4 linked regions of the Tamandua tetradactyla genome follow. The protein of the gene in region 1 purifies or fractionates together with the protein of each later gene. This does not show direct contact. Links are inferred from orthologs where the notes say so. Each region holds a gene or a part of one and is shown on either strand. Other genes may lie near its edges.

The links.
Region 2: the proteins of KAT2B (region 1) and RARA purify together in Homo sapiens (affinity purification with western blotting; 3 studies listed by BioGRID). This does not show direct contact. The link is inferred for Tamandua tetradactyla from reciprocal best matches to the Homo sapiens genes KAT2B and RARA.
Region 3: the proteins of KAT2B (region 1) and YEATS2 purify together in Homo sapiens (affinity purification with mass spectrometry; 3 studies listed by BioGRID, with this or other methods). This does not show direct contact. The link is inferred for Tamandua tetradactyla from reciprocal best matches to the Homo sapiens genes KAT2B and YEATS2.
Region 4: the proteins of KAT2B (region 1) and HIF1A purify together in Homo sapiens (affinity purification with western blotting; 4 studies listed by BioGRID and IntAct, with this or other methods). This does not show direct contact. The link is inferred for Tamandua tetradactyla from reciprocal best matches to the Homo sapiens genes KAT2B and HIF1A.

The regions. Positions count from the first base shown.
Region 1 is NC_135341.1:68,209,416-68,216,486, forward strand, and holds the start of KAT2B (histone acetyltransferase KAT2B), read right to left. Parts: upstream 3,020-7,071; 5' UTR 2,926-3,019; coding exon 2,623-2,925; intron 1-2,622. UniProt on the Homo sapiens protein: Functions as a histone acetyltransferase (HAT) to promote transcriptional activation. Has significant histone acetyltransferase activity with core histones (H3 and H4), and also with nucleosome core particles.
Region 2 is NC_135332.1:27,028,840-27,036,546, forward strand, and holds the start of RARA (retinoic acid receptor alpha), read right to left. Parts: upstream 3,016-7,707; 5' UTR 2,909-3,015; intron 1-2,908. UniProt on the Homo sapiens protein: Receptor for retinoic acid. Retinoic acid receptors bind as heterodimers to their target response elements in response to their ligands, all-trans or 9-cis retinoic acid, and regulate gene expression in various biological processes.
Region 3 is NC_135328.1:124,425,988-124,432,862, forward strand, and holds the start of YEATS2 (YEATS domain-containing protein 2), read right to left. Parts: upstream 3,001-6,875; 5' UTR 2,830-3,000; intron 2,709-2,829; exon of another isoform or gene 2,631-2,708; intron 2,568-2,630; exon of another isoform or gene 2,333-2,567; intron 1-2,332. UniProt on the Homo sapiens protein: Chromatin reader component of the ATAC complex, a complex with histone acetyltransferase activity on histones H3 and H4. YEATS2 specifically recognizes and binds histone H3 crotonylated at 'Lys-27' (H3K27cr).
Region 4 is NC_135338.1:3,074,138-3,081,739, forward strand, and holds the start of HIF1A (hypoxia-inducible factor 1-alpha), read right to left. Parts: upstream 3,009-7,602; 5' UTR 1,645-3,008; coding exon 1,559-1,644; intron 608-1,558; coding exon of another isoform or gene 605-607; coding exon 414-604; intron 1-413.

The sequences.
Region 1 (7,071 bases):
AGACAAGCTGAGAAAAGAACCATAGGTTCTGATGTCTCAAACCAACTCACACCCAACCAAGCCCAGTATTAAAAAAAAGAAAAGAAAGCAAATTTGATGATGCCACTCTCCCCATTCCTCAGTGCCCTCATGACCATAACTTCCCACCCTCGCAGCCAGGTCAATGGAGTGCTAGCTCCTGCTGACCCAGCGCCTACCTTTCAGAACTGTTTTCTACCTTTCAGAACTGTTTTCGGTTGCTCCATTACAAGAAGCTTCACGCTACCTTACTACCCTGAGCAGCCAAGTGTCCTTAGCACCCACTGGCACTTTCTCTAAGCCATCTCCATCCTCTTCAGGCTCTATCTCGTGAACTGCCCAGCTCTGGCTTCCCTCATCAATTTTGTAAAACAGTTTTTCTGAACTTTATTGTAATTGCTTTACAGTCCACCTCCAACACACACTTGCACACATGAGTGACCAGTACCTCAAGAAGGACAGACTCTGAGTATCACAGTCTAGCTTCTAGCATAGTATCTGGCACCCAGTGGGACCTCTCTAAATATTTATTGAATAAATGGGCAAATAAAAGTTGAAGCTTTCAGAGTTTTCCAGGAGCAGGACAAGAAGCCTTTAAGGTTTTAAGGAGAATTGTAGATGTTTTTTCTTCTTGTAAGTGTGGTAGAGGTGAGTGGGAACACGAAATACTCAAACCACAACCTTTAGGTTACATCTCATGCGTGAAAATTTGGATCGATCAAAAATATCAATGCAGGGCACATATGCCCATGGTTTTAGAAAGAACTCAAAATTTCAGGGAATTGTTAGATAATAAGGTGACAGCAGGCAGTGGGGAGAAGTGGTGTTCAAGATGGGAACCCAATACAAAACCAGAACAGAAACACAGAGCTTGACACAGTCCCTACATGAGACAATGCAAAACACAAATTCACCAAGTAATTGAACTTATTCTAGATTCTGTGCACAACACTCCATTCTGCCTACTACACTGAAGGTCTCACTCTGATTGGTCTAATGCCCTTTATAACCAACTCCTAGCCTTTCTCCTTTTTAGAAGGATGTTCCCTACTTTAACATTTTCACATTTCTTCTTCAGAAATATCATGTCACATTACTATTTCATAGTTTTAATTTTCTCAGCTGAATTATAAACGACTAAGATACATTGTCAAGGCTGAACCTGGGTCTTTTCCACTTGCAGTGTGGTCTGTGGACCAGTAAAGGATCACATAGGAGTTCGTTAGAAATGCAGAATCTCAGCTGATTCAGAATCAGTATTTTAATAGATTCTCAGGAGATTCCTATGTACATTAAAGTTTGAGAAGCACTGCACTGGATCCTACATTCATTCAACAAATATTTATTGAACCTGTGTAAGGTTCACAGCAAATGCTCAATATATACACAAAGAGATGAATGGTCTGGGAAAAGGGCAAGCACAGTCATTCCATTGAGGTGGAGAAACTCCTGGAAATACTAAAAACAGCAGGACCAAGACAGTCCAGGAATTCTAGCAGTATTGATAACCTTTACACCAAAACTCAGAAGCGGTCACTGCAGAGTTCTTGTGGCCATCTGAAATCTGGGAACTTGACCCTGTTTACAAGCAGACGGGAAGAATACGTGCACGGGAGGTGATTGAGTGTGTGCAAGAGTCTTCCCCGCCTCAGCCACAGGCCGCAGAGGCTGACAAGGCCAAGTCTCCGCCCCCCTCAGCTGTCACCCTGTCAAAACAAAGCCTCTGCTGACAGTGCAGGGCCAGCCTGCCCCTCGGCCTTGGGCAATCCTCCCACCCTAGGCGCGCAGCACCTACATCTGGGTCTTCAGCTGAGGGCCCAGGGGCCACCGATAGCTGGGATGGAGAACAGGATGGAAAGAAACGTGTATCCTCAAACTGAGTAGCAGTGCCCACAGTGCTGGGCTGTCACCTTGTCAAGTCCTATTTACACCCCGAGCAGTTAGGACAGCGTTTTAACTAAATAAGTAATAATACAATAATGACAAGGTTGTCACGGCGCGCTGCAGTACCTCCGCCCCCAGCCGAGGGCTCCAGGCGCTCCAGGGACCCTCGCCTCGGGCAGTGTCCACCTCCCCACCCTGCGCGTCCTGCCCCTTCTCTCTCTCTCTCTCTCTCTCTCTCTCAGAGCAAGGAATCCGAGAGTCTTTTCCACCCTCACTCTTTGCACCCAACCCCTCCCAGTGGGGCACCGGGCGCAAGCGAGTCACTCAGATCCCAGAGATGTTTTCCTGACCCTGGGGCGTCCTGCCACACCGTGAACAGGGCTCCACTCCCTAGCAGACGCCTCCGGCGAGCTCCTATAGAGCAGCGAAGCCCCAGGGCAGCCCCGGAGCGCGAATGCAAAGGGTATTCTATCCGAGGAGGGGGTAGGGAGTGGGGAACGGGTTCTCCGACTTGGTGATTCCCCTTCTTCCAACCCAACGGGACTCTTATCCGAAAAGGAGCTAACTGGGCGCGGGCGGCAGCAGCACTTCCGCGGTGCAGCGGCCCCAGGCGGTAGGCGGGAGGCGGGGGCGGAGGGGAGGGGGAGGGGGAGAGGGCGGGGGCCCCACAGAGCTGGGCCCTTCGCCCCCAGCCGCGGTCCGCGAGCGGCGAGCTGGTACCTTGCAGGCGGAGTAGACTCCGAGTTTCTCCAGTTTTTTGGCCCGTGGAGCAGAGCGCAGCTGCGCCTTCTTCACAGCGATCCGGGCCGAGCCGCCGCCTCCTGGTCCTTCGGCCGTGCCCGCCGCCGCCACTGCCGTCGCCGGTCCGCAGGCGCCCGAGCCCCCGGCGGCGGCGGCACACGGAGAGCCCTGCGGCGGCGCGGGGGGCTGCGGGGGCAGGGCCCCGGGCCCGGCCCCTGCCCCGGCCCCTGCCCCGGCTCCTGCCCCGCCGCCGCCCGGTCCGGCCCCGCCAGCCTCGGACATGCCGCCCAGGAGCACGGCAGGAGGCGCCGAGCGTCAGGCGCCGCCGCCGCCAGGGTCTCCCTCTCGGGCTCTGGTCGCCGGGAGAGCGAGACCCTCCCCCCACGCCCTCCCGCCCCCTTCTCCCACCCCCCTCCCCGCCCCCGCCCTCCCCCGCGCGCGCGCCGCTTGCCCGGCTCGCTCCGGCCTCGGCCCGCGCGCTGACGGTGGTGGCGGCGGCGGCGGCGGCGGCAGCTGCTCCCCCAGGAGGGAGGGGACTAGCGGCTCCGCTGCCGCCGCTGCTGCTGCCACTGCACACGCCCTCCCCCGGCTCTCCTCCCCGGGGCTCTGCTCGGCTCGCTGGCCTCGGACGTGCTCCCCGTGTGGAGGGCTGGGGCTGTGTGCCAGCAGGGTGAGGGGGATGCGAAACTCTCGTTGTGTGCCGGTGCCGGGAGGACCCCTTGGGTCTCTTTTCTGCTCCCCGCGGGGTTTGCGCCCCCCACCCCCACGCCTCGACACCTATAGCGCTCGCCCGCCTGGAGGCGAGGCCAAGCTCGGGGTGGGGGCGGGCGTGGGGTTGAGGAGGGGTGTAGGGGGCTGGAGCCCAGGCACCTGCTGGCTGCCTCCCTCTTCGCAGCTCCCCAGGCGACCCCCGCGTTTCCGAGCCTGGAGCGGGAGAAGGGGGCGTCCCAGTCATTTGTCCTTCCACTCTCTCTACCCTCTCTCGGAGCCGAGACAACTTCCTCCACCCTAGCGGGAGCCAGAGGGAAAAAAAAAATTATTTTTGAAAAGTACCCGTCCATGCTAATCCTTTTCTTTGTTGCTAATTCACCAAAAATAAAGACGTGATGGTATCTGCTAATCTTTTTTAAACACGTTTCTATCAAAAGAAAAAAAAAGTAATTAAAAAGGCTTTCTTGTAGTTTCTGGGTGAAACCCGCCAGAGGAGGGAAAAGATTGCCGAGCAATTATTTTCTGTAATTTTTTTTTTTAATGCTGGCTGTTAAAAGAACGATTGCCTAAAAAACACTGTCAAAATTAAAAACATGGGCAGGAGGAGAAGTTTGAATCAAAGTTTTAAAAACGTTATCAGGGCTTACCTTTGCATGTCGGGGTTATAACCCCTTGCTCTTTTCTTTTTAAAAATTTTCCACAGTTTCAAATGTGATATCACCGGCATGCCTAGTAACCGAGAAAAAAAAATTTACGCAGCATCCAAGATGAGTGTTTATTTTGGCCTGGAACTTTTTTTTTTTTAACTGACTCGGCGTTTTCAACTGTTTTTGCGCTGATGGCTGTGAGGGTGGTGTTTAGGAATGTGGAGCGAACATTTCAGTTTTGCGTTTCAAATTTATGCCCGGTCGGCCTCTCAAAAGCAGTTCTTAAAAGTCAAGCACTACTTCTCAGCGCCCTTCACTAGTGCCCTAATTTTGGAGGACAAATGTTATGATGTACAACTTGGGACATGATGTGCTTATAATCAGATTCTTCGCGTGCCTTCTAGCTCTCACCCAATCCCGCAGAAGGCCAGAGACCTCTTAAGAAACAGATTTCGCCGGGAAATGTTCCCTTCCCCATCCCAGTTAATTTTCTCTGTCATTTACCCAGATTTCCCATATTCCTTCAACTTTTAATACAGAGTGATATATAAAAGTGGAACTACGAAGAAGTATAGACACATAAAGTGGTGTCAGAAAGGACCAAAGGAAATATCCTCTCCCAACTTGAGCCCAGTGTAAAGGTCTGAAATGGCCGACTTATCAGGTTCCATCAGGAGAGTTAGTTCAATTCCTCCTTTCTTGGTTTGATGTGCTTCACTTTACCACTGTTACTCTCTTGTGGCTTTGCTGGGGTGTTTTGCAGATTTGGGGTTTTTTTTCCCATTCTTACTCACCAAAGCAGGATGGGAGTCTTAAAAGCTGTGATTCCGGGTCAAACTCCCATGATATTAGCAGATCTGTCAGAATTCCCAAGAATGAATGAATGAATGAAGTATTATGAATTGAATTGTGTCCCACCTAAAGATATGCTCAGGTTCTAACCCCTACCTCCTGATTTGGAAATAGTCTTTGAAGACTTGATTACCTAAGATGAGGCCACCCTAGGTTAGGGTGGGCTTTGAACCAATATGGCTGGTGCCCAATAAGAAGAAGGAAATTCGGACACAGGAACAGACAGATACAGGGGAAAACACCATGTGCCCACAGAAGCAGAGATTGAAGTGCTGCTGGTGCAAGCCATGGAATGCCAAAGATTGCCAGCAGCAAACCACCAGATGCCAGAGGCAAGGAAAAATGCTCCACTCCAGGTTTCCAAGGGAACATGTCCTGCTGACACCTTCATTTCAGACAATAAATTTCTGCTGTTTTTACATATATAGTTTGTGGCATTTTGTTACACCTGCCCTAGAAAACTAATATGCTGAGAAATATCTTGATTGAAGTTTCGATTACGCTGTGTAGACATCTGTAAAACTTATGGAATGGTACGTTCCACTGGATGTAAATGTTACCTCCAAAATTTGATTTTAATCATAAAAACTCTAGTTAATAATATTTATGCTGAAAGTTTAGGGGTGCAATATCCTGATGTCTTTGAGATAACAAATGAGCTTTGAGATGCATCAAAAATTAAAATGAATTGATGCATCTACCAATGGGGAGATGGACAGAAGTAAGCAAAAGTAGCAAAAAGTTACTGATAGAATCTAGGTGGTTGGTGTATGAGTGTTTGCTATACAATTATGTCAACTTTCCTCTATGTTTGAACATTTTCATTAAGCATAGGGGCGTAACGGGTTCCACCTTTAATATTAACTCACCATCCATTACCTTCCCCTCTCAAGCCACCCCCAGAATTCAGGAAGCATATTATTTCCAAACTCAGAGCAATTTACTATCAAAACGACCACTGTCTGAATAGCGAATAGCTTGTGACATCAACTGAACGTTATTTCTCATTATATCCCTGCTGAGAGCATGCAGATATACTGTCTTAAACTGAAGTCTCACGGTTTCGAGGCCTTATGTGAAAGTGTGCTCTGTGTACAAGGCAGGGAAGTTTCAAGGGCAAAGAATTCAACAGGTTTGTTGCCCCTTCATAATCAAGCTGTTGTGAGCATTTAGTAAGCTCCTCCTGTGGGCAGAGCACTCTGTTAGGAAGTGGGTACCAAGGAAAAAGAAAAGACAGTATTTTAGCCTTTAAAATACATAGAAACTAAATGTGGTAAGAACATCACAATTAGAAAATAACATGGACTTGGGGAACGGAATTGTAGGGAGCAAGCTGACTACTGAAGGTTATTTGTAGTATAGTCACCCTATGGAATATTATACAGCTGTTACAAAATGACCTTTATTTAAACGCAATAACGTACACAGAGCTCCAAGAAACACTGAATTAACTCCAGCACAGTGTAATTCTGTTTGTGCTAAAGACAAACTCTCATTAACATATGAGCAAGTTCAGCATCTGTTCAATAAATGCACATAAAATGTAAAAGCAAGAGAACAATCTAGAAAGATGCACAGCAAATTCTTAAAAGTAGTTGTGGGGAAGGAGAGCGGGCCAAGCAGGAAAGGCAAAACAGTAGAGAAAGATGCAGGAATGAACCTCATCTACAACCTAATTCAGGTTTTTTGCCCCAGTTTTTTTGGTTGTTGTTGTTTTAAAATATATAACAGCTTTACTGAGATGAAATTGGCATACCATAAAGTTCACCCTTTTAAGTTGTACAAATCAATAATTTTTAGTATATTCACTGAACTATACAATCATCACAATTGATTTTAGAATATTTTCATCACCTTCCCCTGCCAAAAAAAAAAAAAATTCTCCCCTCTCCCCATCCCCTGGCAACCACTAATTTAATTTCTGACTATAGAGTCATCTATTCAAGACATTTCATTTTCATGGATGCATACAATATGTGCTCTTTTGTGATTGACTACATTCACTTAATATAATGTTTTCAAGGTCTAAATCTATATTAAAACATGCCCCAAACTTCAATAATTTTTATGATGGAATAATATTCCATTTTATGGATATAACACATTTTGTTTATCCATTCACCACTTGATGAACATTTGGGTTGTTTCCAATTTTGGCTGTTATGAATAATGCTGTTATGAAAATGTGTGTGCAAGTTTTCGTGTAGACATATTTTCC
Region 2 (7,707 bases), on another chromosome or scaffold:
CCCACAGGAGGAGGAGTGAGGAGGTGAGCAGTTTGGAGGGAAACCTTCCCAATTCCTGACAAATCAGTGCCAACCACATTGTGGGCACTGAGAGGGCAGGGCCTGGCTCCACACGTTGGTCTTTTGAGGGTAGAGGGAATTGACCTGTGGAAGTTAGTGCCAGTTTCCCTCACCCCGGCCCAACTGGAGGCAAGATAAAATAGTGCCCCAGCCTCAATTACGCTAATCTCCTGCTCCCCAAAATGTGTGGGTGCAGACAGAGGGGTTTCGATAGCCACTCCCAGATACCGTAGGGAAAAAGGCTCAAAGGAGAGCAGAAGATCTTGGCTACCCACATGTAAAGATGGAAGCCTGGAAGAGAAGACGGCCAAACTGCCAGACCTGCCACCTGCATCTGCTGCACCTAAGCTCAGTTAGAGACTAGGAGCCGGGAGTCGGGGTGCTGCAGTGCCAGGAGCTACTGTGCCCTCACTCCTCTCCTACTGGGATTCCTGACACCTCCCAGTGCTGGGAGAAGGCCCTCCCCATACAGTAGGAAGGAACCAGCTTAGCGACTCTGGAGACCTGCAGGGGAGCCCCGTACCATGAGGCAGGCGGGAAACCCAGGAGCCCAGGAGCCCTGGCGCCTGGCCCAGAGAGTGAGTGAAATACCTCGGAGGGGAGGAAACAGCCCAGAGCCAGGTAGATGCTTGGTGTCCCCAGCAACTCCTAGATGTGACCCATAAGGAGGTGCTGGCCAAAGGCATCAGCTAGAGAAAGTGAATACACTTCTGCTGAACCAGAGGAGAGAAAAAACTGGGGTGGTGGGGATAGGAAGGAGGTGAGGCCAGCCTGACTTCCCTGTCCTCTTGTCCCCATCAGAGTCGACATACTGACATGAAGCCCTTCAAACACCTCGGTGTGTTTCCCCCGTCCCTAATTTCCAGATGCCAGACTTTTGATCCTATACTTCCCAGGGGCCAGGTTGAGGAGTTGGCAGGCTCAAGGTGGCACTCAGGAGGCCTGGGCAGTGCCAGGGGCGGCCCTCACACCATCCTCCCACTGGCTTCCCTCCTGCCAGCTCTCAGCCGCCACACATATCTCAGCTGTCAAATCCGATTAGGGCTCTCGCCCAGTGAGCTGGACACGGAGGCCACAGGACAGGGGAGAGACAGGGACAAGGACTCCGAGCAGGGATGGCAGAAGGCAAGTGAAGACAGGGCTTAGGGGAGAAGGTATGGAGTCCCAGAGGAAGAGAAGGCTGCTGGAGACATCTGTCCTGTCTTGACCACAGGCTCTCTTGTGACAGCCACAATCTACAGTAGGGGAATTCTGTAGCCCCTGGGGCAATAACCCTGCCTGGCTCCTCCATCCCTCAGATAAGCAAGGACAGGGGAAGGAACCTAAAGGCAGAGAGCTTGACCTAGATCTAGGAAGAGGAGCCCATCTGAGAGAAGCCCAGACCATCACTACCATTTACACTGGGCTTTAGGATTTACATTATTTTGTGGGGTCTTTATGGCAGTGTCCAGTCAGGCAGGCAGGGCTTGCTATTGATAGCCACTTTTACAGATGAAGAAAGAGGCTTAGAGAGTGGGGAACCCTGTATAAATGCAAATTGTTAAACATCCGGGCTGAGTCTTAAATTCAGCCCTCTACTTCCAGGCTATTGCTCACACTGAGAATCTCTACTTCCCTCCTCAGGTCAAGAGCTGAACTAAGTCTGAAGCCAGTGCTTTATCTGCCCTGTCCTCCAAGCCCAACCCTCGGGACTCTGGGGAAGCCAAGGAGGAATGCAGAGCACAGCCCACACCTAGACCGCATTACCAGGGGGCATACCACCCACCCCACCCCTACTACACTGAGAACTGCAGGGGTTCTCCCAAAGAGTTCCCACTCTCTTCTATCACCTCCCCATTCTACTATTCCCAGAGGCAATATACAGATTCACAGGCAGTTACTTAGACAAGTCATACACCCGCTCCTGCAAACCTACCGAACCAGAAGAAGATAACTCTGATCTTCAGAAAGCAGGGCCTATCAGTCCACCACGGGAGGGGAAAATAAGCCACTGCAAACAGTAGGTGTCATCTAGCCTCTCCCAGAGGCTGCAGGAGGGTGGGAGCTACAGGGCCTCCCAGCTCTGGGGTAACACCAGGAGCCAGAGTCTCTGAAGCCAAGGCACCCAAGGAACTGGCATGGCTGGGAGGTCTTCCCATCTGGTCCACACCCCCTTCCCCAGCCATATGGGCTGAGTCTGTTCTAGCCTGGGTTATACTCCGGGATCCCTCCCCTTACCATAGCCACCTACATTCAAAGCTTACAGAGCTTACAACCACATGGTCTCTCCTCACATACACACACACCCCAGGTCAGTAGGGATCTTTCCAATGGGTGTTGACATGTTGGCAATGATGAGGGGCTCTAACTGAACTTTCCCTAGAGGGAAAGGCCACCTAAATGCCGACAACCTCCACCACCCTCCAGCAAAGCCTTTGGCCACCCAAGTGTGAGATGAACCTGGAAGACCTCAGTTCCCTCACAAGGTCCCTCCTCCTGCTCCCTCCACTCTCTATCACCCCAACATTTGCCAATTTTCTTGTCTTGGTGAGGGATATTGGGCAATACTGCAAAGGTAGGTGCAAGGGCGTGGGGCCTGGGCAGACCTTCCTCCCACTTTCCAGTTTCAGCTACAGATTGGGGAATGCCTTGGGGAAAATGCAGGAAGGGTGCTGGAGGGTTCAGGGCCTCTGAGCTTTCAGACACCCCGCTGTTCCCAGACTCCCACCTCCCAAGACACAGTGAGCAATGGGGGAGGAGGGATGGGGAAAGCCTGAACTGGCAAGAGGGAAACGGTAAGATCAGAAGCAGAGAGACCTGGGTAGAAAGCAGACAAGGGATAATTGGGAAGGGGTGTGTTTTGTCCTACCTGCTCAGGTGTGTTGGCAGGGGTATGGTGGGGTTCCCAGGAGAACCGGGGAAGCCCTCTCAGCTCGATTCAGGATTCCCCCCTGCTTCTGGTTAGGCTGCTGCAAGAAGCACAGGCTCCCGTTGGGTCCTAAAGTCCACTCCCCTAATGCTAGGATCTCCCCGCCCTCTTCTACCAGCTCTGACTAGGTCAGCAGGTGCAGAGATAAGGAGCTGAGAACCGATGGGAGAGAAATAACACTCTGGAGGAAAGATGGAAGTCTGAGTCACGGTCTAGGGATAGGAAAGGTCTCAAGTCCCAAATACATAGCACATGGATGACTTAGCTGAGGACAGGATATTACGGGAGAGTAGGGAATAAACATTTCTTCTTGACTTCCCTGAAGATGGATTTGGGCTTTAGTGCTAGAGATGGGGTTAAGATCCCTTTTCTTGTTACCCCTACTAAACTGGAGCGACAAGCACTAATCTTTGAAGGGGTGGGGTGCTCATGCCTGCTTCTACCTACTATCCTTCCCTTCACAGATAGAGCAAAGGCTTTCCATCCCTCCCCACTATTTCTAAGGGCCTAAGGAGCCATCTGAGGGGAAATATCTACTTGGTTTTCTGGTAAGTAAAGTGGGCAGGATGACCTGAATTGCAGCTGAAAAAAGATAGAACTTTACATCCTGAGGGTGAGGTGTGTGCATTTGTGTGTGTGGATATAAATACGCATATTCAGGTGAGGGTATGAGCAAGTAGGGCTAGGGGAGAAGGGAGAAAACACTTTCAGCTACATCGGTTGACAGAAATGGCAATTGTAAATATCAGAACAGAATGCAGAACCTAAAAGTCAGCTAGTGCTCTGACCCAGTCCTCAGTAGGGTTCTGGATTTTTACCAGAATGAACAAATTAAAGAAAGGGAAGTTTTCCCCAGATGCCATTTGGGACATAAATGTAAGGCAGAAGAGTTGGTCAGATGAATTACTGACTTACTTTAGGATAGCCAACCTTCTCAGTAGCTCAAAGAGAAAAACTCAGGTTTGGTGGGATAGGTGGGCAAAGAAAGGGGGGGATGGGAAGTCTACAGAGGGGTGGATTGAGAACATTTTGCAAGGAGGGTTGCACATTTCTCTAGCAGCAGAGCAGGGGAAATGTCATGGGGTGAAAGGCCAGGGAAGCCAGGGACAGACTTAAGGGAGGGAGAGAGCATGGCCTTTTCCTAGAAGGGGAAAGGGCAACAGCACTGCCTCCACCTCTGTCTACAAGAAGAACTGGGGAAGGAGCTAGACAGTAAGGATGGAGGGCCCCAGGGTGGAGTCGGTGATGTGAGCTCAGGTCAAGCCTTTCACCCCGAGGTGCCTCAGTTCTCTCCCAGCTGTTAAACAGGACTCTTGGTTCTTCCCAGGCAGAGTTAATGAGTGTTTACAAAAGGGCTTGGAGCTCCTCAGATCTCAGCTGGGCCACCACTAGTTATAAAGCTCAGTAAGGGCTGAGTGTTATTTGGGGAAAGGAGGAGTAAGGGAAGAAGGAAACAGACTACTCTCTTACAAACTGAGGATAAAACCAAGCTGCAGAGAAGCACAAGGCTCATCTGCCACAGGATATCCTTGTGCCCAGGGACGGAGGTCACATACCCCAGAACCTCTAACCACTACCAAAGGCTGGCCTCCAGCTAGCTGGAGGCAGAACCCAGACTAGCAGCTGGTCTTCATTAACTCCAGCTTTTCACCCCCCACCATGAACCCACAGCTTCTACAGGCCTAGGCTAGAGGGGGCTGCCCCAGTCCAACCTTGCAGCTGACTCCAGTGGGGGCACCACAGGAAAGGCCAAATTACCAGCTGAAAAAGAAAGTTGGAGCAAGAGTCCTTTTTCCCATTGGGAGCAAGAAGAGAGGAAGGGAAGTGTGGGGGTGAGAGGGTGGAGGTGGGGGAATTTAGGGCAACAGTAGGCAGTGAAGTCAGCTGGACTGAGGCCCAGAAACCCCTACACCCTGGGGCCAAGTCTTACTCTAGCTTTGCTTTCAAAGCTCATCTTGGCTAGGCCCCAAACTAGAAGGCCCTGGCTGCCCCTTTCTGCTCCCTACCCCCACCCTTATTAAATACACATTTTATCTCTCAGCATCTTCATTATCTTAACTGAAGGAGACAAGCAGTGGATGGCGGCAGCAGAGCATCAAGGGGGTGGGGGGAGGCACGGGGAGCAGGCGCACCCTTGTTATAAAGTGCTGATCTAGCTCTTTCAGGCAGTGTGGGAAACAGAGGCGAGATCAAAGGGAGTGAGGCTGATTCAGAACTCAATTAGAGCTGTTTTAAAAAGGAGCTTGCTTTCTCCTTTCGCCAGTCTTCAGAGAACCTTACCCAGGCCTCTTGTACCCAATTAGCTTCTACTGCCTTAGGGCTGGGGTTAGAAATCAAGGGAAAACCAAAGGGCAGGCCTTCTCCCCTATAGATCTTTAGAGGGAGACCTGGGCTGTTTATGCCTATGATGGCACCTTATTTTTTTGGGGGAGGATGGTGAGATTGACAACTTCTCCAAAGTTAAAAAGCAGGAAAGCAAAGGTGGGTTCCCTCCTAATCCCTTGCCAACTGAAGGCACAGCTTCTGGCCAATCTCCAGTAACACTAGGTGACATCCAGACAGGCACCCCTCTTCCCAGCCTTCAGGTAGGACTCTCTCCTTACAGCAAAATGTCCCTGGAGCAAAATGGAAGTTGCCTCAAGCAAAATGCCACATCAGAGGGACTGAGTGGTAGGCATCTATGAGGCCAATAAATGCCCCACAACTGTGCTAAGACACATCTCATAAGATGGAACACCCTTCGTGTGCAGGGGCCTGCTCAACATCCCAATGCAAAAGCACCCACAATGTTGAACTGTTTAAAAATGGGAAGACAGGCAGCATCTTACTGGGTTCATTTATCCATTTATTCAACAATTATGGATTGATTACCCACCAGGTACCAGATACTGAACTAAGTACTGGGGATAGAGCCAAATGTGAATAAAATCTCCACCTTGGCTCTCTTCTAGGTTTTCCTCAGTTGCAGTCAAGGTAACACCTCTTGAAAAAAATGTTATTTTTTAGTCCCCAAGCTCTACCTCATCTCCACACCCCAGTTCTCATTGGTGTATATTAATATGGCACTCAATAAAAGTAGGTACCAATGGTTGGGGGGGATGGAGTAGGGAATAGGGGTCCACCAACTTTTTTTGGTATCAGAGGTGGCAGCTCAGGCTGAAACTTGCGCCAACTTTATTGTGCCTGATTTTTTCCATGGCAATACCCACCAGCACTCTAAGAAGCTTGTTTTTTTTGGGGGGGGGGGGAATATATACACACACACACACAAATCAGGACATATCCCACCACCTTCAAGAGGAAAAATGTATGTCAGCATCTCTGCCACCACTCCATGTGAAGCAGCCGATGATCCTGGCAAAAACTAGTAACCACAAGCTCAGCCCAGCCCACTAAAAATTTGACCACCTTACTATAGCTCTTAGCTATAGCTAAGTGAGAAAAGCCAGCAAGGAAAGGACTTTCTTCCTCCTCTCAACCTGCTCCCTGGCTGTCTGAATTACACTTAAGACTTTACTGACAAACATACATCGGCTTTTGCTCCCACAAGGGCAGCGGAAGCCAGGCAGGGATTCTAAGTCTGCTTCACGCATCAGTGACAGAACCAACCCTGTTCCAATTGCTGAAGTCTTGAGAGCAGCAATGACCTAGAAATTGAGTGGGGGGAGAACTGAAGGAAAGGAAACCAACAAACCAATACTCAGAAAAACCTATTTCCAAATACCAGGGGAAAGGGAGAGAAAGGAGGTAGAGAGAAATTTGGCTCCTTTGAATCTGCAAATGTGATCTTGGCTGGCAGCCACGGAGGATACATTGCAGCCCCACTGCGAGTCAAGCCATGTTCCTGACTCAAGCCCCACAGTTAAGAGGAAGGCGCCAAGCCTCAAATACAACGAGGTGGGGAGGCTGCTCCTTTTTGGGCAGGATCCTACTGTGGACACAGAACAGACAGCAGCTGCCCACAGTGTGGAAACTAACTGTAAAGCAGTCACGTCTCTTTAGGTTGCAGTATCCAATAAAATGTAATTTAAATCAAGCCTCGCATCTGTTCTCAATCCCATTCAGTCTCTGCTTTCCATCAGCCTTCGGACAATCTTGCAATTATGCTTATTAACCCTTATAACCCCAGATACTTTCCCAACTTCTAGGTATGCAACTGTGCTCCCCGCTCAAATGCTCCATAAAGGAGTGTGAAAATGGTCACAACATGTAGAATCGTATGTCTGAACTATCCTCTCCTACACACACTAGTGGGTAGTGTTCATTTCAGATGGCTCTCTCTGTTCATCCTTCTACCCCATACCACCTGCTGCAGTCCAGATCACATTGCAGGGATACAGCGGGAAGGATGAATGAAACACTGGCCAACAGATCATTTGTACACATATCGAGTTCCCAAACTCAAGCCCAAGTCAGAAAGGCAAAGGCAGGCAGAAGAGCTCAGGGGAATGAGACTTGGTCACTTGTTCTCTGACAGTCATCTCACACATGGTTTACATTTCAAGCTTGAGTTATAAAAATACAGCAATCTCTTAAATAATCAAACTAGAACTATCTTCTGCCTTCCCTCAAAAGAAAAATACCCCAACCCCAAGCCTGACTCTTGAGGCAGCTTGTGTTATAGTGGTGCCCTCTGGTGTCCCAGTCACAAAATGCCATTTAATGCCATTGGGAGATGAATTGAACAAACCCATTAAAGGGGAGCTGTGAGGAACCATATGTATTAATTTATCTAATAA
Region 3 (6,875 bases), on another chromosome or scaffold:
CTTAAACATTAGTTCTCCTCTTCCTATATATTCCTATATACTTTATAATAAAAACCAGCAAATAGCCCATAGCAAATTATACTGCAACCACTGAATGAAGTAATGTGAAGGCATTTAAAACTGTATGAAAAACAGACGGGACTCTTTTAGTTTGTGAAAGCTGCCAGAATGCAATATACCAGAAACGGAATGGCTTTTAAAAAAGGAATTTATCAAGTTGAAGTTCACAATTCTAAGGCCCTGAAACACCAACGAGAGGTTACCTTGATTCAAGAAAGGCTGATGCTGTCCAGAACATCTCTGTCAGCTGGGAGGGCTCAAGGCGACTTTAGCTAGCTTTCTCTCCTCATTTCATAAGGCTTCCCCAGGGGCGTTTTCCTTGTGCATCTCTAAAGATCTCTGTGTTGACTCTAAAGCTTTCTCCAAAATGGTTCCCTCTTATAGGGCTCCAGTAAGCAACCCCACCTTGACCGGGTGGAGACACATCTCCATGGAAACCACCTAATCAAAAGTTATCACCCACAATTGGGTTAGTCACCTCTCCATGGAAACAATCAAAAAGATCCCATCCAGCAATACTGAATGAGGATTGAAGAACTTGCCTTTTCTGGGGTACACAGCAGTCTCAAACTGGCACAGGAGGGAATTCTGTAAGCTATATATGAAGGTATGTATATTTTAACATCTAAAGAACTCGATACTAAATTAGAAAATAGCAAACACAAAAGAAACGGTGGACAGAGGACAGCAGCGAGAATTCACAAATGGCAAAAAAATATGAAATATAAGTTCAAACAAACCAGTAAGAAAATAAAAAACTAAAAGGCACCATTTCTCTTCCATCAAGTTTAGTTTGGGGGCAGATGGAAATAAGGTGTCCAAAGAAGGGGCCCCTTTTCCTAATTCGCACCTGGCTTCGCGTCTTCACACCTCATTCAACTATTGCTCTCTGGCTTCTATCAGCAACTTCTAGAACTCACAGTAATACCAGTGACCAAATCAATAACCTCCAAGTTGCCAAATCCAGCTGGCTGCCTGACAGAAACACTAATAAGAGGCCACTTCTCTATTTCCCAGAAGTTGAACTCCTGGGGCCTGCAGGGTGCCAGTCTCCTGCTTTTCTTCACAGGCGTGCTGGGTCCTTTCACTGCTCAGTCTGTACTCTGTCCCTGTGTGTACAGTCCCACAGCTGTGACTCCATCTATGTACTGATTACGCCCCAATTTTTATCTCCACTCCTAACTTCTCTCTTCCCCAAGTTCCAGACCTCCACATACTGACAACCGCTAACATGCATCTCAAATTTATCACATCTAAAATAAAACTCAAATTTATTTTTCTTCTACTCTTCCCCATTTCAGTAAACAGCATGTCCACCTGGGTCATTCTGAACAAAAAGCAAAGCAGCTGCTACCCATCCCTCCCCTCATACACCAGTCCACCCCTCCCTGTGTCTTGTCTGTGCTCCTGCATCTCACCGCTGTCCACGAACTGCCGCCAGGGGCCTCAGGTGCTCTGCTCCCACCCGGGCCTCCTGTCCACGCCCGGCTTTGCCAGCTCTCTGAGCAGGGCGCGCCTGTCCCTTGCCGAGAGCCACCCACAGCTACTACGCCCCCAGGTAGCACCCCTGGACCATAACAGTCAGTGGCGTTTCCCCTTTTGCTTGTCTGTATTTTTATTTTTCTAAAGTAAATACTTGCTATTTTCTTATTAGGATAGAGAACATGGTATTGCTGGCTACTAAATAATATTACATAACATTTCTACGTTAAGAGAAAAAGGAATGGAAAATTAGGTAAACTTTAATCACAATTCATAGAAAAGAAAGGCATGTGTAAATTCTAGCAGACACATCAAAATGCCAAGAATGGAGAAATCAGGGCTGTGGGATTACTGGGATATGCTCCCTCCTCTACCTTCTATTTTTGATAACACCATTACATTCTGAAAAAGAACAACAGAGACTGTTACAAACTCACTGCCTCCTGCGATCCCACCCAGCAGACTTCTCCCAGGGCTCGCCTTCCCTAACTCCCTGGGTGATCCATCTTTCCAAGTCCTGCTCATCCTCCCAGGGGGACAGGGATGGCAGGGCATGCGACAGGCGGAGAGGAAAGTTCCAGGGCTCTTCTTGGTGGGTCCACAATTTGCTGCTGCTGGGCCAATCTCGTCTCCAGACCCCACCGGACACCAGAATACCATGTCCACCAAGCCCCACAGACACAACCAGTGCCAGGTCCTCCCCAGGGGGATCTCCCAGGGGTTTCTCACCTGGACTGAGGCTCCTGGGACGGACCCTCACCCGGACCCAGGCTCCTGTGGGGACCCTCACCTGGACCCAGGCTCCTGGGGGGACCCTCACCTGGACCCAGGCTCCTGGGGGGAACCCTCACCTGGACCGAGGCTTCTGTGTGACCCTCACCTGGACCAAGGCTCCTGGGGGAACTCTCACCTGCACCCAGGCTCCCAGGGGGGGACCCTCAGCTGCACCCGGGCTCCTGGGAGGAATCCTCACCTAAACCCAGGCTCCTGGGACCCTCACATGGACACGGGCTCCCGGGGGGACCCTCACCCGACACGGGCTCCCGGGGGGACCCTCACCTGACACGGGCTCCCGGGGGTACCCTCACCTGGACCCAGGCTCCTGGCCGGGAGTCCGGCCTCTCTGCCGACATCTTCGCTTCCCCTCAGAGGCCGCCGGCTGGCGGGAGGGTGGGGGGGGGTGGGAGGAGGAGAGCGCGCGCGTACCCGCGCCGCCCCGCCCAGACAATGCCCCGGAGAGCGCGGCGCGCGCCCGGCCGGTGCAGTCCCGCTCCCGCCGACACTCACCCTTTTTCCGGGTTTCCGGCTGAAGCGCAGGCCCCACGGGCGCCGTAAGACGACACGGAAACGGGCAGACGCACACAAGGCACCGCGGGCCACACTCGGCCCGGCGACCCCTCGGACGCTAAGCGATCCCTGGGCTGGGCCCGCCGTTCCGTCCCGCACGTCAGCGGCAGAGGCGCGTCGGGAGCGCGCGCGGCGGCGGCGGGGCGGGACTCGCGGGGCCTGGGCGGGGCTCGCGAGGCGTAGGCGGGGCCTGGGTTGGCACCCTCATTTCTCATTTTCCTCTCTGAAGCCGAACAGCTGGCGAGCCAGCCCAAAGTTTGACAGTTTCTTGGTTCTCTTGACATTTATGAAGTTTCCACAATAACAGCTGGTTTTTTGTGTGTGCCATCTGATGCCACCCTCTGTGCTACATGCTAGGAATACAAATAACTATAGTTAGTTACTAACCCATTTTACAGGTGCAGGATCTGAAGCTCAGAAAGGTTGGGACTTACCCAGGTCACACAACTAGTGAATGACAATCCATCAAATCAATGTCTCTTAAACTCATGCAACCTTCCCTCTCCTTTAGCCTGTACCCCTCTAGCCCACCTTAAGACTGCCCAAGATGGTCACAGACTCCCAGCTGGGCTCCAGGAGTCCATCTCAGCTCCTCCTCAATCCCATCCCCTCACTATTTAAAAATGCATCACTAGAGCTGGGGCGGGGGGGTGGCACTTTATTATTTTTTTATACTTTACATATATAATTCTTTTGGATGTTGCACCAGTTTGAAAACATTATGTACCCCAAAAAGCCATGTTTTAATCCTGATCCAGTCTTATGGGAGCAGCTGTTTCTTTTAATCCTGATTCAATACTGTAGGTTGGAAACTTTTGATTAGGTTATCTCCCCAGAGATGTGTCCTGCCCAAATGTGGTTGTGATCTTTTGATTAGATGGCTATGTGACTCCACCCTTTCCAGGTGGGTCTTGGTTAGTTTACTGAAATCCTTTAAAAGAGGAAACATTTTGGAGAGAGTCAGAAACAACAGAAACCACAGCTTACAGGAACTTAACAGCAGAGCTGACACAGATGCTGACACTTGGAGAACGGAGACGTGGATGTTTGGAGAGGCTTGGAGCCCAGCAGACATTGCTATGAGATGTTAAGCAAGCCAGAACCTGGAGAGAGCCAAGGGAAGCCAGGAAAGGAAAACCAGCCCCAGAGAAGCAAAGTGAGGAATCCCCACAGGAACAGAGGCTGGAAGCAACAGAACCCAGGAGCAAGGGACCAACAGATGCCAGCATGTGACTTCCCAGCTGTCAGAGGTGTTCCGGACACATTGGCTGTGGTAGTTAGATTCAGTTGTCAACTTGGCCAGGTGAAGGTGCCTAGATCTATTGCCGTGGACATGAGCCAATGCCATGTGAACTTCATCTGTTGCTGATTACATCTGCAGTCAGTTAAGAAGCGTGCCTGCTGCAAGGAATGATGTTTGATTTAATTGGCTGGTGCTTAAATGAGAGAGCTCAATGTAGCACAGCCCAAGCAGCTCAGCATACCTCATCTCAGCACTCACAGCTCAGCCCAGGCTTTTGGAGATGCAGAAAGAAATCACCCTGGGGAAAGTTGTTAGAATCCAGGGGCCTGGAGAGAGGACCAGCAGAGATCACCCTGAGCCTTCCCAAGTAAAAAAGAACTTCAGTTGAAAGTTACCTGCCTTTCCTTTGAAGAACTAATGAAATAAATCCCCTATTAATAAAAGCCAAACCATCTCTGGTGTGTTGCATTCCAGCAGCTAGCAAACTAGAACATTGGCCTTCCTTGAGTAAAGGTAACCTCTTCTTGGTGCCTTAATTTGGACATTTTTCACTTCCTTAGAACTGTAAACCTGTAACTAAATTCCCCTTTATTAAAGCTGTTCCAATTCTGGTATATCACTCTCCAGCAGCTTACTAACTAATACAGATGTACTTCATGTTTAATAAAAAACGTTGACGGCCTTACACTTGTATCCCCAATAGCAAACCCACTGCATTTGCTCAAAAAATATGTACTGAATGAATGAACAGGAAGGCCAGGAACTGACTCCGAAGCTGTGTGCTATTTTGGGCCCTGAGAGAATGGAGGATTTTATAATACACCACCCTCAGCCTTCTGAGCTTAAGGTCTATTAGGGACAAAGACAGGTGAAACAATATAGTTTTCTCAACAAAGTTGTATTTGGATTTCTAGTCTCTTGTAGCACTGTGCCAGCACTGTGTTAGGCACTGGGTACGTAGGAGTGAACAAAACAGACCCCTACCCTTGCACAGCTTATAGTCTGATTATCAGGAGGGGAAACCTAGTCTAAACTGCAAGGCCAGTCACATTTAGTCTGGAGTGATCATTACTATTCCTGTTTTATTTATGTATAACCTGATATTTAGAGATAAGAATGAAGCCAATTGGGTCAGGATTAAGGTAATTCAAAATATAGGGGTAAGGAAGAAAAAAAAAACTGCAAGATAAAGAAAGGTCTCCCTGAGGAATGACATTAAGCTAAGATTGAAAGAATAGGAATTGGAGAGACAAAAATAAATGCAATGGAAATAAGAAAGGAGAACCAAAAAAAAACCAGTAAGAAAATAAAAATAATGGAGAAAGAAGTGAGGTCAGTGTTCCAGTTTGCTAAAGCTGCCAGAATGCAATATACCAGAAATGGGTTGGCTTTTACAATAGGGATGTATTAGTTTACAAATTCACAGTTCTAAGGCCATGAAAATGTCTAGATTAGGGCATCCAGAAGAAGGTACCTTCTCTGAGGAAAGGCTACTGGCACCGGGTCTCCTCTGTCACATAGGAAGGCACACGGCCGGTATCTGCTGGTCCCATGCTACAGATTCCATCACTGCCAGCGTCTGAGTCCAGAGGCTTTCTCGCTGAGCTTCTGTGGGCCTTCTCTTAGCATCTCTGGGGTGTTTCTCTCTCTGAGCGCTTTTGGCTTTTCTTCTTTTATCCTCTCATGAAGGGCTCCAGTAAAGGATTAGGACCCACCTTGAATGAGGTGGGTCACATCTCAGCTGAAATAGCCCAATCTAAAGGCCCCACCCACAACAGGTCTGCACCCACAAGAATGGATTAAAAGAACATGGCCTTTTCTGGGGTACATAACAGCTCCAGACTACCACAGTCAGCATGAGGGAGTCAATGTCCCCCCTCCCCACTCTTGGGGTCTCTTCTGAATTGGGGCTTAGAAATACCTAGTCAAGGGCTGGGAAGGCTAGAAGCTCATTCTCCCAGCTCAGCCTGGAAAACTGCCTGATTCGGGGGGAAGTAACACTGAGCAGGGCTCAGGTGCAGACAGCAGCACCTGGGTGGAGAGGCGCCTGCCATAACGCTGCTAGGTCTGCACACTTCAGCAATATGCCAGAAATCCAGTCTATGCTACATGGCTGAGAGCTACAGACAGCCCATGGAAACCCATGTAGTGGTCTAATTGGCGGCGCATGGCTGGAGAATACGGTGGAAGGTCCAAGGATGGACAGTGCCCCTAAAGCAGAGGATGGGGATGGAGGAATTACGATGGATAGGTGGAGCATCAGACCTGGAAGGCACTGAAGCAACAGATCCTGAATGGACAGTCAACAATCTCCCCACCTGATGCCAGCTGAGCAGTGGTGACCAAGAGTGGCCAGGGACATGGTGGCAGGGACAAGTGAAGACCTGGTCTACACTCACACTTCTGCACACCTCTCCAGGCACTGCCTCAAGGCCTCCCCTTGATCCCTTAGGCCCTCTTATGAAGCCTAGGGGAAGAAGAACAGCTCTTAGTTTGCAATTAACTGCCTCAAGATTTAGAGACCAGAAGCCGTAGATCAAGATCTCAGCATACAGGGGCGGGGGCTGGGCAGGAGATGGTCGAGATGGCAGCTTAGCAAGGTGTGGGATTTAGTTCATCCTCCAGAACAGCTACTAAATAACCAGAAACAATGCAGAACAATTCCTGGGGCTACGTCAATGACCGGACACACAGCATACCACCAGGCTGGACCAGCTGGACCGGCTGCGAACCCACCCAGAAC
Region 4 (7,602 bases), on another chromosome or scaffold:
CAACTGCTTTTCAGGATTATTTAAAGTAATGCAACAAGGCAAACCACTGAAAAGAGAAAGGGTCACGTTATTAAAAAGAAAACAGGTAGGTAACTGAGACTGAAGAAAATGAAAAAGAAAAAAGCTAGTAGTTTAAAAATTCCTGAATGAAGCTTTAAAGACAGGTAATAAAAAATATATCATATTAAAGAAGAACTAAGAGTGTTTTTAAGGGAATAGAGCAAAACTTACAATATAAAGAGATTATTTCTAACTATACTGATTAGAAAAGCAAACTTCATAAAATACGATTATTGAAAAATTTTTCAAGTATGTTATAACATAATGGGGTATACAAAAAACAAAATATTTTGACAACTTCTAAACAATTTCTAGTTCTAATTTTCAGCCTATTAAATTCTTAAAAAACTCACCAGCATCCAGAAGTTTCCTCACACGCAAATAACTGATGGTGAGCCTCATCACAGAAGCCTTATCAAGATGCGAGCTCACATTATGGGGAAGAGGCAACTGATGAGCAAGCTCATAAAAAACTTCCGACTCTTTACTTCGCCGAGATCTGGCTGCATCTCTAGATTTTTCTTTTCTGCGTTCAGAACTAATCCTACTTAACCAAAAAAGAAGAGAAAAGTTGAAAGGGAAAGTTTATGTAAGTTAGTTTGGCTTAGTTTGAATAAAACTTTTTATATTCTTCTGTTACCATAGCTGGATTAGAAGATGCCATGTAACTAGAGACTTGTCTACCAGATGAATGTTCTTTTACACAGCTATACAAATGTTTGAAGTACTGCAGACATAAGGAACTCACACAAGAAGTTCATGATCAAGCTTTAAATCTTTTCAAGCAGATGTTACCTCCCTGACATGTCAAATTGTAGAGGAAGTTTTTATTTTAGTCAAAAACTGTACCTTCATAGCCACTGATAAGCAGTTTCAAAATACAGAACCCCGAGTAAGTCTAGAGGAACAATCTACAGTTGTACATAATGACTTGAACACAAGAGTTGCTAAGCATATCAGTTACAGCAACAAACTGATCTGCTCAGTTTCTTGACTCCCACACACCCTCTACACTACCACAAGAACAATACTCACTATAAGCTACAGGAATTTTTATTAACAGTTATAATAAACTACTGTTTTCAGGTTGTCTACTAAGCAGCAGCACCTTATCTATTACTGGCACAACAGTCTACCAAGTAAATACAGGTATACGAAAGGAAGGGGAAAAGGTTGTGGCATGATACTTAGATTCTTCCTTAACAGGAACTGTTGATTAGAACCTACTACGTGCCTAGCTCTATAGGTTAAATATTATCCCTCTTTTACATATGAGCAAATTGGGGCTCATCTGGAATTTATTTGGCATTCGCACAGTCACATACCAGAAGGGATTTGAACCCAGGCCTTTTTAACTCCAAAGTCTTTCCTCTTCCTCCACTATGCTTATCTTAATGGAAAACATTTCTTCAATCTCAAATACTCAGCTGCTCTCCTGTGACCCCTCAACTCAATCCCATTATTTAAGCCAATTTATTAAATTGAAAGCAGCCGGTACCATTTACTAAGCACGTAACAGTATGTTAAGGACTCTGCCTGCATAATTTCACTTAATTCTCCTCCCATCCTATGAATGAAGTACATAATTGGTCTCCACCTCAAGTCTCTCCTCCCTCCAGATGATCTTTTGCAAAGCTACCAAGGTTCAATCGTAGGAACGACACACTCGAATAAACAGGCAGGCTTTCAGTGTATGCTCATGTTATCTTATATTACAACAAGTAAATACCTAATGGTTGTATTGTGACACTAATCACAATATAATCTTAGCATTTATTCTTTGTGTGCTTATATTTTTATACTTTTATAAGGAATGTGAACACTTGTTACATATTGTTAATAACACTGATGTAAAAATTTCAGTTTAAGTATCTAGATCAGTTTAACTTGAGTATCTTGCGATTTAAGGTGTGCTATAAAACCATTACCATTTGTAACTACTTATATATGTGAATCATGATTTTCTCAATGATGTACAATTTAAAAAACTACAGATAAATTAGATGCCTATGCTACTATGAAAGCACAAGAATGTCAACAATCTGTAATAATATTTTAATGTGCATTAGAATTGCCCCATCGATTGACTTTAAGTAAATATTTTAAATTTGAACTTTAAAGTGTATAATAATAAAATAGAGCTTTTATCTATCTTAGGCATAAATAAGGATTCTGCACAATATTCAATGGGGGAAGAGAAGAGTGGTTTCTGTTGCTAGAAAGAGTTTGAAAAGTCCCCAGACCATGCGATCTAAAATGGACAATCTCTTCACTTTGGGGCATTCACCCTGGGTTTTGAGCCAGCAGTCTATTTTTGGCCCTAGTGGATGCTGTTGCTATTTTATCCCCACCTCCTCCCAGTCATGGGTGATAAGCAATAGTGGCTGTGGCAAACAGATTCCTATGTAGTTCAAGCAAAACCACCAAAAAAGAATGGTGATCAATGACTGATGATAAACCTGAATATTAGGTTCAAATGCCACAATTAATTCAGGTGTTAAGAATATTATCAGCAAAAAAATAAAAATAAAAAAGAATGTTATCAGCCACTTTAATCACATTTATTACCCCCTCTTTTTCTGAACAACACAACCAATCTTCCACAAATGATTACCCAAATGAAATACTTGGAGAAAAAATTGTATCTTTATATTACTTGCCATGTTTTTAAAGGATATCTGATTAAGCTAACCATGGTGGTAGAAAATCTCCATACCTTCTGAAATACTTGCCTTCTCCAGAACCTTAAAGATAGCAATGATTGCCCTATTAGAGAAATGATGTTGCATAAAACATCAAAGGACAATATATAAGTCAGGGCAGACTATGAGAACAAGCATCTGAGTGTAAACATGAATTCTGGAAGTAAAATAAACCTCAAGAAACAAGTAATCTGATATTTCAAGAGTCGATAAACCTAAATTAGACGTAGAAGGTGATGAAAATCATTATGTTCATTATTACATAAACAATCTTTAGATTACAGCATTCAAAGAACATGTAATAAAGGTTTAATAAAGAACTTTTATCTAATAATCTCCACATGTGTACTATGTACAAGGTGGTATTCTAAACATTTCTAAGCTTAAAACTTAGCATCCAAAGTTCTTAGGAGTTTTTACATCTGAACAGTCCAGTTTATCACTCTTGCTCCCACAGAAGTACATAAGTTACTTCTATTAGACCATGGGTTACAGCACCCATAGAGAAGAATTCTGTGCTATTTGCTTACTTACTACTACTTAGATGGAACAAACGTTGTGTGGACCAGAAGGAAACAAGCAGATTTTCAGCATGCAAATAAGGCCACTGTATTACTCTAAATTATCAATTGCATCTATGTTGTTTTTAAGTACAAATCTACCGAAATTGTCTGCATAGGTGCTATTTCACAGTGTACTAGAGGGCAAATCAGCTAAGAATATACACAAAATCTTTCTTTTTTATTTCATTGTCCAGGAATTGAACCTGGGTCTCCCACATGCAAGGCAAGCATTCTACCACTGAACCACCCATGCACCCCAAATTCTCTTTTGAATAGTTTGCTTAACCATTTCTATGACTGTTTCAGAACTGAATCTTTGTGGTGCTGCAGTTTTCACATATTTATTTTTTTTTTATTATTTAACATATAGTACTTGTGGTGGGGTTTGGAGGTATGCACACCAGAAAAACATGTTCGTAAACTTAATCCATTCCAGTGAGTGTGAACCCATTCTAAGTAGGACCTTTTGATGAGGTTATCATGGGAAGCAAGAAACTGAAAGTCAGTGGAACCCAGAAGAGAAGGAAGAGGCCAGGAGAGGCCACCACGTGCACTGCTAATGTGACAAAGGATCACCAGCAGCCAGCCCCAGAATGTAGTCTTTGGAAAGAAAGCATCACCTTGATGATACATGCCTTTATTTAGCCTTCTCTTATTTAGCCTCAAAACCAGGAGTCAATAAATCCCACTATTTGCTTTAGCAACAAGGAAACTAAAACAGCACTATAGCAAGAAAGTAACAATTACATCTTGAAATTACTTTGTATAGGAAAAACTATTTTGAGCCACTGTCTTATTAAGCATCTTGTATGCAAAGTTCATAAGCAGTAGTCATTTTACAGAGAATGTATACTATTCTTTTATAGCTAAACAAGAACACAAAATAATTGCAGACATTTCAAGTCATTGTGGTCTACTTATGATATACAGAAAGCTTGACAGCATTCCTGATTGTAAATCTCTGACTTTATTCATCCTGATTGTAAATCTCTGACTTTATTCAAAATGTTAGCAGGAAAAAAATGCTAGCAGATGACTGGATGTATTTCTGATCAATTAAGGCATAATTTTTTTTTTAAATCCCTCAATTCTCTTTATTTAGAGGAAAAAAACTTTCTGGCTTTGAAGGTACAATTTTTTTTTTCACTGTGTCAGTATTTCTACAGGATAAATGCTGTGAAGTGAAATGCTTGATTCAAAAATTATGCCATTTAGCTCTCCAAAAAGGTTTGTACCTACTTGTGTCTCTGCAAATCCATGAACATGTACATCCATTTTCCTATGCACTCAGCAGATTATAGATCATGGACCTTTTTTTCTTTTAAAATTTTTTACCAAGCTGATAGGTGAAAATTATATCTTGTTGTTAAACAGTACTGGTTAGCCTCAGGCCTGAAGAAAATCCAAGGAAATTTTCAAGTTCACTCTTTAATAGGCATTTTGCTTAAAGCTTTAAATGCAAAGACTTCTACTTGTTGCTTGCTATGTACAAGGTAGTATTCTAAACATTTTCATGTTAACTTAATCCTTAAAATAGCCCTGTGATGTAAATACTGTTATCATTATGTTATATATGTTATTCAAGGTTAGAGTTAATAAATGGTGTTCAGAACCTTTATTCTAATTTAAGCAGTTTGGCACCAAAGACCTCATGCTATTAACACTACACTATGCTGTCTCCCAGAAACCCATTCTAATTCCCAAGATAAGTATTCATAAGTCTTGCTCTTTATTATGAAGTTTAAAATTTGTCACTTCACATTTCCAAGGACATAAAGAAGTTATAGGTGTTGGCTGTGGAATTTAGGATTTGATGGACTCGTGGCCATGCTCTTTCCTGGAATCTCCTTGTAAATCCGAAGTCCTAATTGACAGGTACCTGTAATAGCCATGTTCTCTGTTCTGCTGTCCAGCATCTCTTCAAAGAAAGGCAATGTTTAATGGGTATTGCCAACCACTGTGGGGAGAGGATAAGAGGATGGCAATTCAATCTACCTCTCATACTCCCATTAAACTTTATTTTAAATTTGTACAGAGCAGCCATCTGAACATTTTAATTCAGTCTTGTTTGTTTCATTTGCTCAACAGCTGTATGGTAATCACAGCAACATCCTGGTTTTGATTATACTCACTTTTATAAAGTTTTTCTAACTTGTATTAGAAAATTAGTGAATAAAAGCTGAAGCATTTTATTTTATATTAAAAATGTTCTAGAGCTATTCCTAGAACTAATGTACATAATATGACAGCACATTATCCTTGGGCGAGGTGATTTTTGAGATTGTTTTATAAGCAGGAAGGGCAGGCCTGGTCCTATCCTACAGAATTTGGTGATAGTGGCATAACACTGAAAGGTAATCCCTCAAGATCTAAAAACCTAAATAATTTCTTCACATATTATAAGCCATTTGTCATATTAGATGTTAATTTTTTCTGGAATCTGTTTTCTCTTTTATCTTGCACAAGTTAAAAATATTGATAGTCAAATTAATCTTTTCCATTGATATGTCTTCTAATATTCTTCCAAAGATCTGAAAAATATCTTATTCTACTTCTGTCTAGTTCATTAAACCACCTGGAGTTTATTTTGGTGAAATGTAAGGTTGGAATCTAAATTTTTTTTTCCCTCAACAGTTACCTAAAAGCTTTAAAAATATAATCCTTTTTTTCCACTGCTTTTTAATTTCTTATTTTAGCATAGTAAATCTTCACCATTTTGGATATTTCTAAACAGCTTTGTTCAATTATTTTATGAATTATTATTTTTTTACATATGTTCCACAGATAAGATAATATTTAAAATACCAGTAGGCCAACTGTTAATTGCCACTCTTCTTTTACTGGATATTCTTTGTATGGTGAGGATCCCAAAAGTAAAATCAATCTGCATACCTACTCAGGAGATCTGCCTAGTCATAAGCCAATTGCCAAGATTCCTCACCTCATAAAACATCATGAGAGAAAATAGACTATTGTCCCTCTAACATTTATTGGGTGCTCTGTGCTAAGGACTAGTAATATAATCATAAACAAAACAAACTACTGAAATAGTCACTAATGCTATATTTCTAAATGCTGGTTTAGCTGCACCATAATTGTCAACACATCAAAATCTTGGGGCCTACCTATCTAAATTCTGATTCTGTAAAGCTGAGGCAAGGCCCAGAAATCTGGGTTTTAAAAACTTTCTGAGAGGTGTATGATACATAGACAAGGTTGAGAACCACTGACTGAAATGAGTCTTCAAATTATCACCACAATGGTCTTTCCAAAATATGTATCTCATATTATGTCCTGCTTAAAACGCGTACAGGTCAAAGACTAATTACTTTTAAAGGAAGTTCCCTACTCATCTCTTCATCTTCATTTGCCACACCCCCATTCACATTCTTCAGTCACATGACAATCACTCAAAAGGAGTGTTTCATTCATCTCTGACTTGCTAACCCCAATATTTTGGTAAATTGTCATACAAAACTTTAAAAACTCAACTCAATCATTGCTATCTATACCTCTGCTTTTTCTTTTCCAAAACTGTTTCTCTTTCCTAGAACTGACCACTCTGGTTGCTCTGCTATTATTTATCTTCCTCAACAATGTCTGAAAGCTTCTTGGGGGCAGGAAACTGCCTGATTCATCTTTGGATTCTTAGTAGGGATGTGCAGAAGTTTGAATATGGAGTTAGTATTCTGCCCAGATATGCTACTTAACTTTGATTCTGGCATATGGAATGCTGACTCCTCTTCAATTGTTTTTGGGATCCCTAAATTTGTACTTTATCAGTTCTCCTGTGATTCTGTAGGGTACAATCTCAACTAACCAGCATTAACAGTATAAGACGAACAAGTTATACACCATTTGGATTTACCGCGATTATCTGCATATTCACTTTCAAAAATAAGTAAGCAAACTTTATCTCCCCTTTTCCACCTTTGCCCCATTATAAGTCTATTCCTACAACAGCGATGAGAATAATCATTTCAATATGAAAGTCAAGTCATATCACTTTTTTGCTTAAATTTTTTTTTTGCCTCATTCAGAGTTAAACCAAAGTCATTAAAAGTGCCCATAAGGGGCGCTGTAATCTGACCCCATTATATCTTTGATCTCATGTCCTACCACTTTTGACCCTCTGCTTACTCTGCTCCAGCCACAATGGCCCTGTTGCTCTTCAAACACTGAAGGCACACTCTCTCCATAGGGTCTTTCCATTGCTTATTCCCTCTGCCTGGAATACAGTCCCTGAATAGCTACACGACTTACTTCCCCATTTTCTT